Tamandua tetradactyla: one gene and its partner. The protein of the gene in region 1 purifies or fractionates together with the protein of each later gene. This does not show direct contact. Links are inferred from orthologs where the notes say so. Each region holds a gene or a part of one and is shown in the gene's direction. Other genes may lie near its edges.

Region 1 (7,837 bases):
GCCTCTCTCTCTTCCTGTCACACACTGGACACCACTGGCTGAGAATGTGTGGGGCAAGGAGGACAAGAAAAGGAGGAAGATGTTCCCTTGCGCCCACTTCTGGAATTGTCCTCTACATTGGCTTCTCCCTCCTCCCTCCCCTAAAACACTGGACCTGGGGCAATCCCTGCTCCCACCCCTCAACTATCCCTGCTTCCCACCTGCCCTGTTGGAGTTAGAATTTCTCTACGCCTGTATGTTTCTGTGGAATAAATACTGGGATTAGGGGGAGAGAGGGAGCAACGGCCCTGGGGACGGACATCTCTATAGTAGCTGCCACATTGGTTTTTCTATAATCACTTGGGGTTTGTACATTTTTGGGGGGAGAGACACAGATTTTTACACTAATATATGGACCTAGCTGAGGCAATTTTAATCCCCTGCGCTAGGCAGGTAATAATAAAGGTTGAGTTTTCCACAGCTGTGTGTTGGGTTTTTTGAGGTTTCAGTAAAACCTGCCTCCAGTACCCCTCACCCCCCTCAACCCATTTCCTTTGCTTCCCTCATCTCTTTTCCATCCCCTCCCCATCCCATTTCCAACTACCTGTTTGCCCGGTATTGGGTTCTATTTCTATATAACCCAGACCCTTGCCTGTGGGACCTCGGGAGAATGCATGCATGTGTGGACGTGTGAGCCAGGAGGGAAGCGGGCAGTGCTCTGCGGGAGACCCGGCCCCCACACTGGTTGGGGAGGTGGATTAGAATGCATGCATGTGTGGACGTGTGAACCAGGAGGGAAGCGGGCAGTGCTCTGTGGGAGACCTGGCCCCCACACTGGTTGGGGAGGTGGATTAGGCCAGGGGTCCCTAACCTTTACTGTGCCTCGGACCCCTTGGGCACTCTGCAGAGGCCTCCGGATTCTTCTTCAGAATCATACTTTTAAAACCCATAAGACAAATACATAGGATTACAAGGAAAACTAATTGAAACAGTTACCAAAATGTTTTTTGAAAGGTGATGCAGTAGTATATGTTTCTTTTAAATATATTTAATATTAACATCCAGCAGGAGTTGTGCTAACTGCTGACATTTTCATGTGCCCATGAGCATGAAGAATATTTTGAGAGTTCCACAACAGCTGTAATGAGATATAAAAATACCTGTGATGTCCTATTAGTGACAAGCCACAGGTACTGATTTTCAGTGGGGTTTTCTATGTTCATAATTGAAGGAAGTGTTTCAGTCAGAGGTTAGGAAAAACAAAGGTGTAACCTTTTTTTCTTACCCAAATTCTAGGACCCTCTCAGGATCTGGGAGGTCCAGGTGAAGTCCAGCCTAATTTAGATTAGGCTGATGAACTGTACAAATAGCCCAATAGGTTCGAACTGTTTGGATAGAAGCCAGAACCCAGAGCCTAAATTATCTCAGAGGCCTGGAAGGATGAGTCACAACCACCAAGAGAGCATTTAACAAAGAGTACAGATTTGGCTGGAAAGGGAGGAGGTAAAAAAATAATAATAAATAAAAAAAAAACAGCCACCAAAAATAGTTGCAAGTATCGGACTGGGCAGACACGTATTGCTAGCAGTTCATGAGAAATAAAGACCCTGGGGTATTTGGTTGATGCTATTCTCAAAGCGAGTCAACTGGATAATGAGCACACCAATAAAAGATACTTTAGTCTTACGTTGAATGAACAGGCTCTCGGGGGTCAGGTCTAACAGTCCTACTGAAACCTACACAGGTCAGACCACTGTGTACCACAATTTAAGACGGGCGCCCACAGGTTGGAGTTTCAAGGCCAGACCCAGAACGGCGAGCAATGGAAGCCATAGCGGTAAGCCTGGAACTCTCTTTTGAGCTCTAGACCTCAATAACCACCTGAAGTTTATTTGAATGTCAATTTCAGCATGTCCAAACCTGTTCCTCCTCCCTGGTTTCTTGACTCAGTAAATCATCATCCACTCAACTGGACAAGCCAGAAACCAGGCAGTTCTTCTTAACACCTCCTCCCCCCTTACTCTCACTTCCCAAGTCCAGTCTGTCCATGAAGACTTGTTGATTATGCTGCCCCAGTTTCCCTTTAACTCATTCATTTCCCACCATCTCCATCATTGTCCCGACACGGGCTACCGCCCTCTTGCCTGAACCGCTGCAGTCTCCTAGCCGGTCACCCCCAGATCTGCTCCTGTTCCGCTGTGGTTTCCTTTTGGCACTGCAGCCAGAGTAATTAAAAAACAAAACAAAACACACATGTCCGACTCTGCTCCTTTATTTCAAAACCATTGATCTTAGAATAAAAAATAACATCTTCTGGCCAAGTGTGGGCCACACACACCTACCTCTCTAGAGTCCTTCTCTGACCTCTCCTCTAGGCATCCCTAGCCTTCTTTCAGCTCTTCCAACATGTCACAGTTCCTCCTGCCCAGAGCCTTTGTAGCATGCTATTCCTTCAGCTGGACCGTGCCTGCTGTCTTTGTCCTGTTAACTTCTACTTGCCCTTCAGCAGCCGTACCTCACCTCCCTAACCAGGTCAAATCCTCTACTGATACTCTCAGAGCCCATCAATCTCTTCTTTGTAGCACTTTTACAGGTGCGATTTTACATGTATTTGTGCACATATACTTTCTTATACCTGCCTTTCCCACTAGACTAAGCTCCACAAGGGCAAGTTCAGTAAATACTGGTTGAAAGGTATCAGTAAATACTGGTTGAAAGAAAGAACTTTTGTCAAATATCTAAAGGTTAATATAAGGGATTGGATTACTCTGTGTAGCTAGGGAACCAGGGTCAATACGTGAAAGTTATAGAAATCAGTAATGATGATGAATATTTGTTAGGTATCCTACTTATTTCACAATGAAGAGTATTAGGTTAAGCAACATGCCTAAACTTGCATAGCCAGCAGATGGCGGCACTGGGTGGGAAGCATGCTAAAGGGTGGCTCTATGTTCTTTCTGTCCAGGAAGCTGTCTGTTGGGAGGAGGTTGTGAGCTCTCCATAGCAGGGCATTTCCAAGCACAGACTGGACAACCCTCTATCAGGGAGCTCCTTCCACAATTTCAGCCCCCAGGCCCCCTGTCAGGCCCAGCAAGCTGATTTTCTTCCTTAAGTTCAGTTCCAGGAACAGTTATGTGCTCAGTTCCTGCCACTGGACATCTTGCCCTCACCCACTGCATCCCGTAGAGCAGGGCTCGCCAAGAGGTCTGCCCAGTTGGCCTTTGTCTGCTCCCTCCAAAACGAACCAAATGGCCTTTCAGTTTTACACATGCCTAAAATCTGTTTACAAAGGTGCCATTAATTTATGTACACCATTTTGTAATCTGCTTTTCTCCCCTTGCTGATAGGCCATAGATAGCTCCAGGCCACTAAATATACCTGGCCTCCTTTCAAAGTGTTGCCCAGTATCTTACATTGTTGGGACTATGCACGTTTTATATAACCGACCCCGAGGGCAGACATCTGGGTTGTTTCCATTGCTTTCATAATACAACAACAAACATGCCTCACTAAACATCTCTGCATGTATATTCCTGCACCCATGTGGGAGAACTTCAGTGTGATATATCCTTAAAGCTGGAGTTGCTAAGTCACATTAAAATATTGCTAGATACTGCCACATTACCCTTAAAAAGGCGTGCATATGCCAATCTTCAACACAAGTGTATGTGTATGCTCTTACATCCTGGCCAGCACTGACGTTGTCAACCCTTAACTTCATTTTTTTCCTAATCTGACATTTTATTGTCTCTTTAATTTACCATATTTTGTTTCATAATTTACTTTTCCTTAATTACTAGTGAAGCTGCAAATTGTTCCTCTATTTATAAGGCATTTGTATTTCTTCTGCTTTTTGCCTGTTCCTCTCTTTTGCAGATCTTTTCATTGCACTGTTCCTTTTTCTTACTGCTCTGTAAGTTTTCTGCATTTTATCTGTTTTATCAAACATTTCTTCCCAGGCTATAATTTGTATTTTGACTTTCTTTACCTTGTGCCATAAAGAAGCTTTATCAGTTCTCTGTCATGCTTTGAGGATTTTAAACACTGACTGCCACAGAAACAGGGAACAAGAAGATAACATGTACCAGCTGCAAAGGCTAACGAAGTCTTAGGCTGTCCTTAGCATTTTGGTCTTCGGTCCCTCGCTTCCTTGTAAACGCGTCTCAAAACCCAGCCTCATCACTTCGTAGCTGTCTCATACGTGGGCAAATTTCTTCATCTCGCTGAGCTTGGGTTTTCTCGTCTGTAAAGTGGAAAGAACAAAGGTCGCCTCACAGAAACTTGGGGAAACGCGTAGCTCTGGTCTCGACTGAAGACATTCCTTTCCCTTTCCCTGCAGTAGGTTCGAAAATCAAATCAGAGCAAACGACTGGCTTCTTTAAGAAATTGTATTTATCAGGACCTTCTAATAAACGGTGTAAGCGTGGTGGAGGTGGAAATTAAGATTTACATGCCAAGTAAGGCGTAATGGGTCGTGTTAACACCTAACTCGCGAAAACACTTTAGGAGTGTGCTTTATGACAATTTTAGGGGGGTGTAAATGAGCTCAAGGAACCCAGTTTCGTGTATCTATAAGCCTAAGCGTCTCACCGCCGCCGCATCTCAGCGCGCTTCCTCCAAGCGGCCCATCTACTCCCGGGTCCCGCCTCCCGCTAAGGCCGGTGAGCAGCGCCGTTATCAGCGTGGGCGGAGTGAGCAGCGGAACCAATCGGCCCGGCCTGGCGTCCTCGGCTCTCTCCATTAAAACCAGCCTCTCCCCGGCTCGCTTCTCCGCGGTGCCTGTCGGGAGTTGTAGTCATGCGCGTGCGAGCCCGATGGGAGCGAGCGAGGACCAGACTCCAATTCCCAGCATGCCCCGCGACAGGCGGGTGCAGCACTTATTCTTGCCTTTCCACTTTTCCACTCCTCTTCTGAATCCGTCCCTCTCGGCTCCTGTCTGTGGAGTCTTTCGTTCTTCTCCCCATTTTTTTTTTCTCGTATTTTTCACCATTCTTTCCCCTATTCCCAGGAGCTACTGCGAAACATTGGCTCCGATTAAGCGACCGCTCGAGACTCGGGGTGCACGAGGTGGGATCAACAAAGTGGTGAGGCAGCCCTGGGAAGGTGGGGTGGCGGAGGTATCAGGCAGAGTTGGGTGAAAGGCGCGGAGTGGGAGGAAAGTAGAGGAAAAGTTAGGACATAGGACGGTGTGGGGTCAGAGTGAATGGGGTGAAAGAGACTTGGGGGGGAGGGAGAAAGGTGGAATTCGATTGGCGAGACATGGAGGGCAGAGGTAGTTTATTGTGATGCTTAGCAAGAGACGCAGGGCGAAGAAATAGAAGGTGGGAAGGACTGACAGATTTGCATCTCACAGGTTGATCTGGCCAGGAGGGGCTGGGATGAAAGCAAATCGGGCTCAACTGCTCAATTAAAGATAAGACAAGTCATTGAAATACAAAATGATCATTAATTCTGTCACCTGGAAACAGAGAAGACTGAAGTTGAGGACAGAAGTGGGTTGAGGAGGCAGGAAAGGAGAGGAGGCTGGTCAGATTTTGAAGTAACATGAGATGAGTGGCATATGGAAGAGGGAGCCACAGAAAACCTGGGTTATTTAGGGTGGGGGTAGGGGTGGAGGGATCTGGAATTCTGATGAGAAAGGTGAGGGGAGACATAGTCATGGATGGTGGGGATGTGCTTCTAATATTTGGCGTCTCTCAGGTGATGGAGAGCACCCCCACACGGGGTGGACTGAACCGAGTACACCTACAATGCCGGAACCTGCAGGAATTCTTAGGGGGTTTGAGCCCAGGGGTATTGGACCGATTGTATGGGCACCCTGCCACCTGTCTGGCTGTCTTCAGGTGAGGACCTCTTCATGGCAAGGACCATGGTGGGGAAATGTAATGGGAGCCTGCAGACTGGAATAAGTTAACCCTGAGGGTTCTTGGAGATTACTCCAAAGGGTGGCAGACCAAAACGAATGGACTTTTGAGATTTGGGGGGCACCGGCACTTGTAAGGACTTGTATTTGTGTGTGTAAGGAGGTGAGATGAAATATTTGAGAGGTTCTTGGAGGCAATTATAGATATAAATCAGCTTCTGATGATAACATTTGACCTCTACTTTCTACAGGGAGCTCCCATCTTTAGCTAAGAACTGGGTTATGCGTATGCTCTTTCTGGAACAGCCTTTACCACAAGCTGCTGTAGCCCTGTGGGTGAAGAAGGAATTTAGCAAGTGAGTTTCCAATGCATCCTCAGATAGATACACATTTCTTTTTTTTTTATTTTTTATTTTTTTTTATTTTTTATTAACGGAAAAAAAAAAAGAAATTAACACAACATTTAGAAATCATACCATTCTACATATGCACTCAGTAATCCTTAACATCATCACATAGATGCATGATCATTGTTTCTTAGTACATTTGCATCGGTTTAGAGGAACTAGCAACACAACAGAAAAAGATATAAAATGTTAATGTAAAGAAAAGAAATAAAAGTAGTAGTAATAGTAAAAAAAAACAACAACAAACAAACCAACAAGCAAACAAAAACAAAAAAAACCCTATAGCTCAGATGCAGCTTCATTCAGTATTTTAACATGATTACTTTACAATTAGGTATTATTGTGCTGTCCATTTTTGAGTTTTTGTATCTAGTCCTGTTGCACAGTCTGTATCCCTTCAGCTTCAATTACCCATTGTCTTACCCTGTTTCTAACTCCTGCTGAACTCTGTTACCAATGACATATTTCAAGTTTATTCTCGAATGTCTGTTCACATCAGTGGGACCATACAGTATTTGTCCTTTAGTTTTTGGCTGGATTCACTCAGCATAATATTCTCTAGGTCCATCCATGTTATTACATGGTTCATAAGTTTATCTTGTCTTAAAGCTGCATAATATTCCATCGTATGTATATACCACAGTTTGTTTAGCCACTCTTCTGTTGATGGAGATTTTGGCTGTTTCCATCTCTTTGCAATTGCAAACAACGCTGCTATAAACATTGGTGTGCAAATGTCCGTTTGTGTCTTTGCCCTTAAGTCCTTTGAGTAGATACCTAGCAATGGTATTGCTGGGTCGTATGGCAATTCTATATTCAGCTTTTTGAGGAACCGCCAAACTGCCTTCCACAGTGGTTGCACCCTTTGACATTCCCACCAACAGTGGATAAGTGTGCCTCTTTCTCCGCATCCTCTCCAGCACTTGTCATTTTCTGTTTTGTTGATAATGGCCATTCTGGTGGGTGTGAGATGATATCTCATTGTGGTTTTGATTTGCATTTCTCTAATGGCCAGGGACATTGAGCATCTCTTCATGTGCCTCTTGGCCATCCGTATTTCCTCTTCTGAGAGGTGTCTGTTCAAGTCTTTTTCCCATTTTGTAATTGGGTTGGCTGTCTTTTTGTTGTTGAGATGAACAATCTCTTTATAAATTCTGGATACTAGACCTTTATCTGATATGTCGTTTCCAAATATTGTCTCCCATTGTGTAGGCTGTCTTTCTACTTTCTTGATGAAGTTCTCTGATGCACAAAAGTGTTTAATTTTGAGGAGCTCCCATTTATTTATTTCCTTCTTCAGTGTTCTTGCTTTAGGTTTAAGGTCCATAAAACCACCTCCAGTTGTAAGATTCATAAGATATCTCCCAACATTTTCCTCTATCTAGATACACATTTCTTAACAGCTGTATTTCCCGAACTGCTGTTTCTTGGGTCACTTCCAGGAAATATTAATGGGTATACTACAAAATTCATAATTAAGTAATTTTAAGAAACTCTGCCTACTGTATTTTTCTTCTTGGCAATAGAGCAAGTCATGACATGTATAGACTTTTAAGTCTTATAGTAAAGGAAATTTATAGTAAAGAAA
Region 2 (7,842 bases), on another chromosome or scaffold:
TCATTTGCCAAATATTTTTTGAGCTCTGATTAAGTGCACGACAGTGTATCAATTACTAAAGGATAGAAAGCTGAATGTGTTGGAGTCCCTGACCCTGAGAAGTTTAAAATCTAATGGGAAGGTAAGATTTATTATAAGTAAAGAGTCTTTTACCTTACTTCCATTTGACAAATTCCTGGGACGGTCTTTGATGGGTTCAGAAGGGTTGTGTGTCAACCTGTGGGCTGAAAGGCTAGCCTTGTGATGGGGTAGTCCCAACAGAACCACCAGCTGTGTGGGTGAGGAGCTATTTTCCAAAAGAAGGGATGGGGGTTGCTATTGCTAATCAAGGGGCAAACAATAAATGTCCTCTTCAGATGAGGAGAGCCTACCTACTTTCAGATGAGGAAAGGGACACTTTCCTCCTCTGAAGTCGGCAGCCTTGGAAACCACCATCAGCGCTTGGGAAACAGCGTCCCTGGGAAGAAGAACTGACTGCTAACTGAGAGAGATGCAGAGATGCAGGAAGAGAAATAATGGATTCCAATTGGCCCACTGTTCAGACACAGCTGTCTTCAGAAATGTAGTAAATTTGATGGCTTGCTGGTTTTTCTACATTGGCTGAGGTTTATTTGGGTTTAGAATTTTACCACACTTTCAAAATTCATGAATCTGAAATCTGGTATTTTAGTGCTTTCCTCCTCAAAGCTCTTTGACCATTCTATGTTAGTGAAATGTGCCAGGAATAATGGTGCACATTTCAAAGTTCCTATTACATGTGAGGCACGCACAGTATGTAATTTAGTCATCACAACAGCACAGTGAAGTGTATTATATGGAGGAAGGAATCTGAGGTTGAAAGAGGATAAACGATCTGGCTTAAACTCAGGTCTGTCTCCTTTCAAAGAAGCCCAGACTCTTCCTATTGCACTATATGGCCTGTTTTAGATAGTACTACTAGTATTTATTAACTAACAGTTATTGAGCGCTTCCTCTGTGCTAGGTACTATGCTAAGCAATTCTTTTTTGGGTTTATTTATTTTTAGAGCAGTGTTGGTTCAGAGAAAAATCATGCACACAGTATAGACTTCCCATACACGCCCTCTCTCATGCACAATTTTCTCTGTTATTAATGATTTGTATGTTAATTTTCATTAACAATTAGTATGATACCTTTGTTAAAACTGATGAAACATTATTATTATAATTACACTAGTAAATATAACCCATAGTTTACATTAGGGCTAACTCTTTGTGTTGTACAGTTTTATTTCTTTTCTTGTAATTTATATATAATCTAAAATTTTCCCATTTAATATACTCGGAAGTATACAATTCATGGTGTTGATTACATTCACAAAGCTGTGAATCTATCACCATCTTCATTGTCAGCACTTCTGCATCACCTCAAACTGAAACTCCACAAACAATTAAACATTAAGTCCCCATTACCCATCTCCGCGGGGCTCCAGGTAACCTGTATTCTAGGTTCTGAATTTATAAATTTGCATATTCTGCTTTTTTCATATGTGAGATCATACAACATTTATCTTTTTGTATCTGGCTTATTTCACTCAGCATGATGATTTCAAGCATGCATAGCTTCATTCTTTTCTTATGGACAAATAATATATGTGGTATATACATATCCATTTTTTTTATTCATTCAGCAACGGACACTTGGATTACTTCCACTTTTTGGCAATTGTGAATAATGCCATTATGAACATTGATGTGCAAATAACTGTTCGAGTCCTGGCTTTCAGTTCTTTTGGGTAGTCCCTAAAAGTGGAGTTGCTGGGACATACGGTAATTCTAAGTTTAACTTTCTGAGGCATTGCCAAGCTGTTTTCCACAGTAGCTGCACCATTTTACATCTCCATCAGCAAAGTATGAGGGTTCCTATTTCTTTACATCCTGTCCAACATTTGTGTTTTGTTTTTTTAATAGTAACCATTTTAGTGGGTGTGAAACGGAATCTCATTGTGGTTATGATTTGCATTTCCCTGATAGCTAATGATGTTGAGTATCTTTTCATGTGCTTTTTGGCCATTTATATGTCTTTTTTTGAGAAATGTCCACTCAAATCTTTTCCCCATTTTAAAATTGGGTGTTGGTCTTTTTTTGTTGTCAAATCGTAGGGGTTCTTTATATATTCTGAATACTAAAACCTTGTTAGATAAATAGTTTCCAAATATTTCCTCTCATTCTGTGGGTTTTCTTTTTTACTTTCTTGATAAAGTTCTTTGATGCTCAAATGGTTTAAATTTTGATGAAGTCCCATTTATGTATTTTTTCTTTTGTTGCTTGTTCTTTTGGTGTAAAGTCTAAGAAACCACTGCCTAACACAAAGTCATGAAGATATTTCCCTAGAATTTTATAGTTTTGGTTCTTATACTTAGGTTTTTGATCAATTTTGAGTTAATTTTTGTATATGATGTGAGGTAGGGGTCCCCTTTCATTGTTTTGCATATGGATATGCATGTTTCCCAGCAACATTTGCTAAACAGACTGTTCTTTACCCACTGAGTGGATGTGGTGGCCTCTTTGTCAAAAATCAGTTGGCCATAGGTTTAGGTTGGAGGATTTATTTCTGAACTCCCAATTTGATTTCATTTGTCTGTACATCTGTCCTTGTGCCAGTGCATGCTGTTTTCTTTACTGTAGCTTTGTTGTGGTAAGAGCTTTTAATGAAATATATAATTTAATTTTTTTTTGGGGGGGGTGCATGGTCTGGGAATCGAACCTGGGTCTCCTGCATGGAAGGTGAGCATTCTACCACTGAACCACCTGTGCACCCTCTCATTTAATTTTTGTCTCCAGCTGAAGCCCTGTGCACCCTCTCATTTAATTTTTATCTCCAGCTGAAGCCCAAGGTCACATGGCTGGTAAATAAAGAAGCCAGCACTTGAATCCAGCTCTCTTGGTGCCAGATGCCAAATTTCTAAGTACTAAATACTGCCTCCAGCACCTTAGGTAAATCTTGTCTAATAGGTCCAAGTCAGCTGTAACCACCAATGCTCCCTGGTTGTAGTTTACCATCTGAGAACAGGATAAAGCTAGTAGCAGTGTTTCCTCTTACAGTCCCCTCCCAGCCAGCTGCACTCCTGCTTTCTTTATCTTGATCTCAAAGCTTGGGAGAAACCAAAAGCAATTCACTTCACAATGTGCTTGAAGTCACCTGTGTAAAAACCTGATTGAAAGTGTCCTGGTGGTATTAAACAATAATGCCAACTGAGTGGATGACTTCTTAATGTAGCATTGGTTCAAAATTTTATTTGCTTACTGACCATATTCATTCTGTCCCCAGGAGTTTCCTGCTCTGTTAAAATATAAAGCTCTTAAAAGTTGCTTTTGTTCTTGGAGAACTTCACTCTGAGTCATGCAGCTGGTTGGGATGAAACAATGTACTGTCTTTCAATAAGACGTTATGCTTCTTTCAATATGTCAGTAGAAGCACAATAAAATTCTAGGTCAACGTAGCATTCGGGGCTGCCTATTTTATTAAACTTACAGTTTCTTAGCTCCTCTTAATGAAAAATTTTATGATCAAGGAGATGACATGGCTAATTTATTGGGTGAATCCCTGGATGTCCTATACTAATATAAAGCCCTGCTCTGCCCTGGCCTGCTTTGAATTGCTGGTTCCCAGATGTGGCATCCAGCTGTTTGTCAAGCTCCCCCCTTCACACCCCTGAAATCCCAATTGTTTTTCCTGCTTATCGGTTACCAGCTGGGTTCAGTGTTGAAAAGTTTGTGAGTTGGAGTGTTCCTTTTTGTTTTTATTGAAACAAGTGAAAGTGCTATGAAAAGTTAAAATTACTGAGTGTGTGCAGCTGCTATTCATTGTACGGGTTAATTTGAAAAAAGTATGCCTGTTTGTCCTGGTGGAATTTGTGTTAGATGAATGTGACTATAAGATTATGCTTGGCATAAAAAACTTTGCATTACACTGTTATTTTCTGGTCTTTCATTCTTCATTTACTCTGCTTATTTAATAAGCATCAACAAATCCTTGTTGAGTATCTGTTATGGAGGTGAATAAGATGTCCTTTATTTATAGTGGGAAGTTTTTTTTTTTTTTAATCTATTACAGCTGTTTATAGACTTTGATAAATGTAATGAATGGTGGCTTACAATTTCCAAAGAGATTCAGGTTCTCATATCCTGGAAATGCTCAAATAAAGTTTTGTGCATTCTCATAGGGTTTATTTTCCTTTTCAGTATTTGGGGGGAAATAACTGTTGTCTGAGGGGGGTGGGGAATACTAGGGTCACGTGACACCATTAGGCATATTTGACAACCTTGAGACAAGGGGCTCTCTGAAGAGCATATGACACATTGTTTGTATAAGTATTCTGACGTTTAGTGAGAATCTGTAATATTTAGGGTCTTTGCAGAGATGACTGTTCTAGATAACTTGTCCAAACTTTTCATATCTGCAAATGCAGAGTATTTTCTGTGCTTGCATAGCTTTGCAAGTATAAAGGAAAAGTATAAAGCACAGGCTGAAACTGTTCAAAAGAAAATATCACTCTTAATTATGAAGACTCCAGGCACATGTATACATGAAATCATGGGAATGTTTCCTGATAGATCGATGCAATTTATCTCCCTAATTATGACTCCGTACTTGCACATGAGACTAAATGCACAGAGATGAGACTTTGTATACCATTTGCCTTTAAACTTTTTACCCCCGAAATCCAAAATATTGCGCTGCTTCCGGAAGGCTAAGCTCGACCCCCGGCTGCAGAGCCGGAGACCTGGCTTCCGGAACGCCCGTGCCGCGGTGCCGGGTTCTCGCCGGTGCCCCTTTCCGAAGGACCCGTTCCTGCCGAGCGCCTGCGGGTAGGAAGCCGCCGGGCGTCGGGACCGGCGGGACCTGTGGCAGCGCGTGTGGCCGAAGCCGGCGGCGGGGAGCGTCGGTCGGCGAGAAGGCGCCATGGACGACCAGGGCTGCCCCCGGTGTAAGACCACCAAGTACCGGAACCCCTCCTTGAAGCTGATGGTGAACGTGTGCGGACACACGCTGTGAGTGGGGCGGCGGCGGGAGGGCCGCGCGGGGCGGGCGGCGAGGCTGAGGGATGGCGGCCCCGGCGCCGGGCGCGGGGCGTCCGCGGTGCGGACACGGAGCGGGAGAGCGGGGACAGCGAGCTTGGCCTTCCGAACCGCCCGGGCCTGCAGGGCTGCGGCCGCCGGTCGCCGGCGGTTGGGCGGGTCTCTGCTAGGCGACGGTGCTCCCGGGCTCTGGGCGGCCACCGGGATCCCAGACGCAGCGCGGGGGGAAGCGAGGGGAGTGTCACAGGGAGCGCTTTTCTTCTTAAAGAGCGAACGCGCTAGGAAAGTGGAAATGACCCTGCCGTGTGCTGCAGCTCGTCGCATTGTACGAGTTGTTCTGAAAACCGCGTCTTGTCCCGACGGGCTCGGGTTAGACCCTTACCGCCCAGCAGGGAGAATGGGGGAGGCTTAGTAAAGGCTGGTCTTCGCCGAGCGCCCTCCCGGTACCCGGCACGGTTTTGAGCGCTTTTCCACGCCTTAGCTCACTTCATTCCCCCAGGAGCCCTGCGAAGTAGGGACTGCTCTTCCCATTTCAGAGGGAAATAAGTCGAGACGACTCAAGGCCAGTTATTAAGTGGGCGCTGCTGGAATTGGAACCCCGGAAGTCTGGTTCCAGAACGCCCACTTTTTTTTGGGGGGGGGGTTGGTTTTGCGCAGCTGGGAGAAGGAGGGAGGTTTAACGTCTGTGTTTTGAATCATCCGTGCAGGAATGGGTCAAAGTGTGCCTTCCCAAGTTTTTAAGGTCAGACGTGGTTCAGGAAGGTGCTTGTCTGTGAAGCACTTTGGGATCAAATCTACAATATGACGGGAACATATGTCATGTTCCTGCAGTTGCTCGATGATGAATAAGTTGCCGTATTATAGACAAGGTCTTTAGGTAAGCATAAGTTGCATGATTAGTTGTAATTATAATAATTATAATGGAATTTATTAACTCAATTGGTTCCTTTTTGTAATTAATCTTTATTTTCTTTGCGTTATCCAGTAGGGGAAGTACAGTAGAGCTGTGACTGAATGGTTTAAGGTTAGAAACAAGGTAAAAACAGTCGAGTAGAATGTATGGAAAAGGGAAGTAAAACAAGCAGTCCAGATAGACTGTTAAGTTTTTAGTCTTATTAAGTATTAGTCTATTAAGTTTTCATTTTATTTTTCTCCATTTTCTAGTATCAGATTTGTTGCAACTGATGTTAAAGGAAAGGTAGATGACCAGATGTTTTGTTCTTTTTTTTGAGGGGGTGGGGGTAGGGGAGGGAGGTGCATGGTCCGGGTCTCCCATATGGAAGGTGAGCATTCTACCACTGAACCACTAGTGCACCCCTGTTTTGTTCTTTTGAAATGCTAATTAATGTAATTGACTGGAAGAAATTTCTGCCTAGCAGCAGTTAGCTTATGAGGGAAGATTATGGGATTTCAGTAAAATCAATCGTATAGTAATTAGACAGTTATAAAATTAGTTTTAATTGGAAATTGCTTCCATTTGTGTCCTTAGTCCTTTTTATTTTCTCATAAGGGTAAAAGTTATCTAATTGATTCTGGTGTTGCATTTATTTTGATTTATTTTTAACGTACTAGGTACAGACCACACTTTGCAGTCGTTTTTTGACTTGAAATATGAAGAAAATGAATAAAAGATTATCTCCTGACTTCAAGAGAATATATACTAAAGTAAAGGGTCATTCAAAATGCCATTCTAGGGTATTGGCTAAGAGAACAAATTCTGGAATCAGTCTGCTTGATTTTGAATATTTTCCTCTCTGAGGATTTGGGCAAGTTAATGCCTTGTGCCTCATTTTTCTTATTTGTAAAATAGAGATAATACAGTACTACCTGTATCACAATGTTTGAGAATTAAATAATCTTTGTAAAACATTTGGAGATATTTAGTGGAGTATCTGTCATCTAGTTGGTGTTCGATATATATTGATTAGCGTATTATCATATTATTTGTGGGTGGTATGGGTAATATCCGGTAATGAAACTAAAACAGGAGTCATTTGGCTTCCTATGAAAGATTTGTATAACAATGATTATCTTTAAATGGATTCAATAGACTATGAAAATGTAGCTTTAATTATAATGGTCTTATTGTAATTTTCTTAATATTAACTCTTCAGCATGTTTTCTGTTTCATTGTCCTTACTAAGAAGACCTTAATCTAGGCTAAAATTCTGCTCATTGATTGTAGGAGAGCGCTTACTTACTTTTTTTTATAATTCGTTAAAAAATTTAAAAATGCACATAAGCAATTAATAGTTAAAGCAACATAAGAGTATTAAGTGAAGAGTAAAATTTCTCTGGCTCACTTCTTTATTTTCCTTTTTTTTTGGCGTGGGCAGGCACTGGGAATCAAACCCAGGTCTCCGGCATGTCAGGCGAGAACTCTGCCTACTGAGCCACCATGGCCCGCCCTCTGGCTCACTTCTTTAGAACTAACAATTTCTAAATTGCTCGTGTAGCTTTCTGGACAATTTTTATGTGTATACAATCATGTGCGTGTGTTTAGATAGAAAAACTTCTTACCCAAGCATAAGTGAGATCATATTGTATCCTTGCTTTTTCATTAAGTTGAATATCTTTCTAAAACACCATGAATGTCTTTTAATTTTAACTGTTAGATAGTATTCCATTGTTCAGTTATATTACAATTTAACCAATCATTTTTTGGGTGAACATTTAGGTTTCCAGTTTTTTCACCCGAGTAAACATTCTTAGACATACATCTCTGAGCACTAATGCAAGTATATTATCAGATATAGTATGTAAATGATAGGATAAATGATTAGGAGTGGATTTGTTGGCTTA

The links.
Region 2: the proteins of GTF2H4 (region 1) and MNAT1 purify together in Homo sapiens (co-immunoprecipitation; 3 studies listed by BioGRID and IntAct, with this or other methods). This does not show direct contact. The link is inferred for Tamandua tetradactyla from reciprocal best matches to the Homo sapiens genes GTF2H4 and MNAT1.

What each region holds. Positions count from the first base shown.
Region 1 is NC_135331.1:85,836,093-85,843,929, forward strand, and holds the start of GTF2H4 (general transcription factor IIH subunit 4), read left to right. Parts: upstream 1-4,815; 5' UTR 4,816-4,829; coding exon 4,830-5,063; intron 5,064-5,679; coding exon 5,680-5,822; intron 5,823-6,093; coding exon 6,094-6,198; intron 6,199-7,837. UniProt on the Homo sapiens protein: Component of the general transcription and DNA repair factor IIH (TFIIH) core complex, which is involved in general and transcription-coupled nucleotide excision repair (NER) of damaged DNA and, when complexed to CAK, in RNA transcription by RNA polymerase II.
Region 2 is NC_135338.1:4,165,022-4,172,863, reverse strand, and holds the start of MNAT1 (CDK-activating kinase assembly factor MAT1), read left to right. Parts: upstream 1-4,821; 5' UTR 4,822-4,924; coding exon 4,925-5,013; intron 5,014-7,842.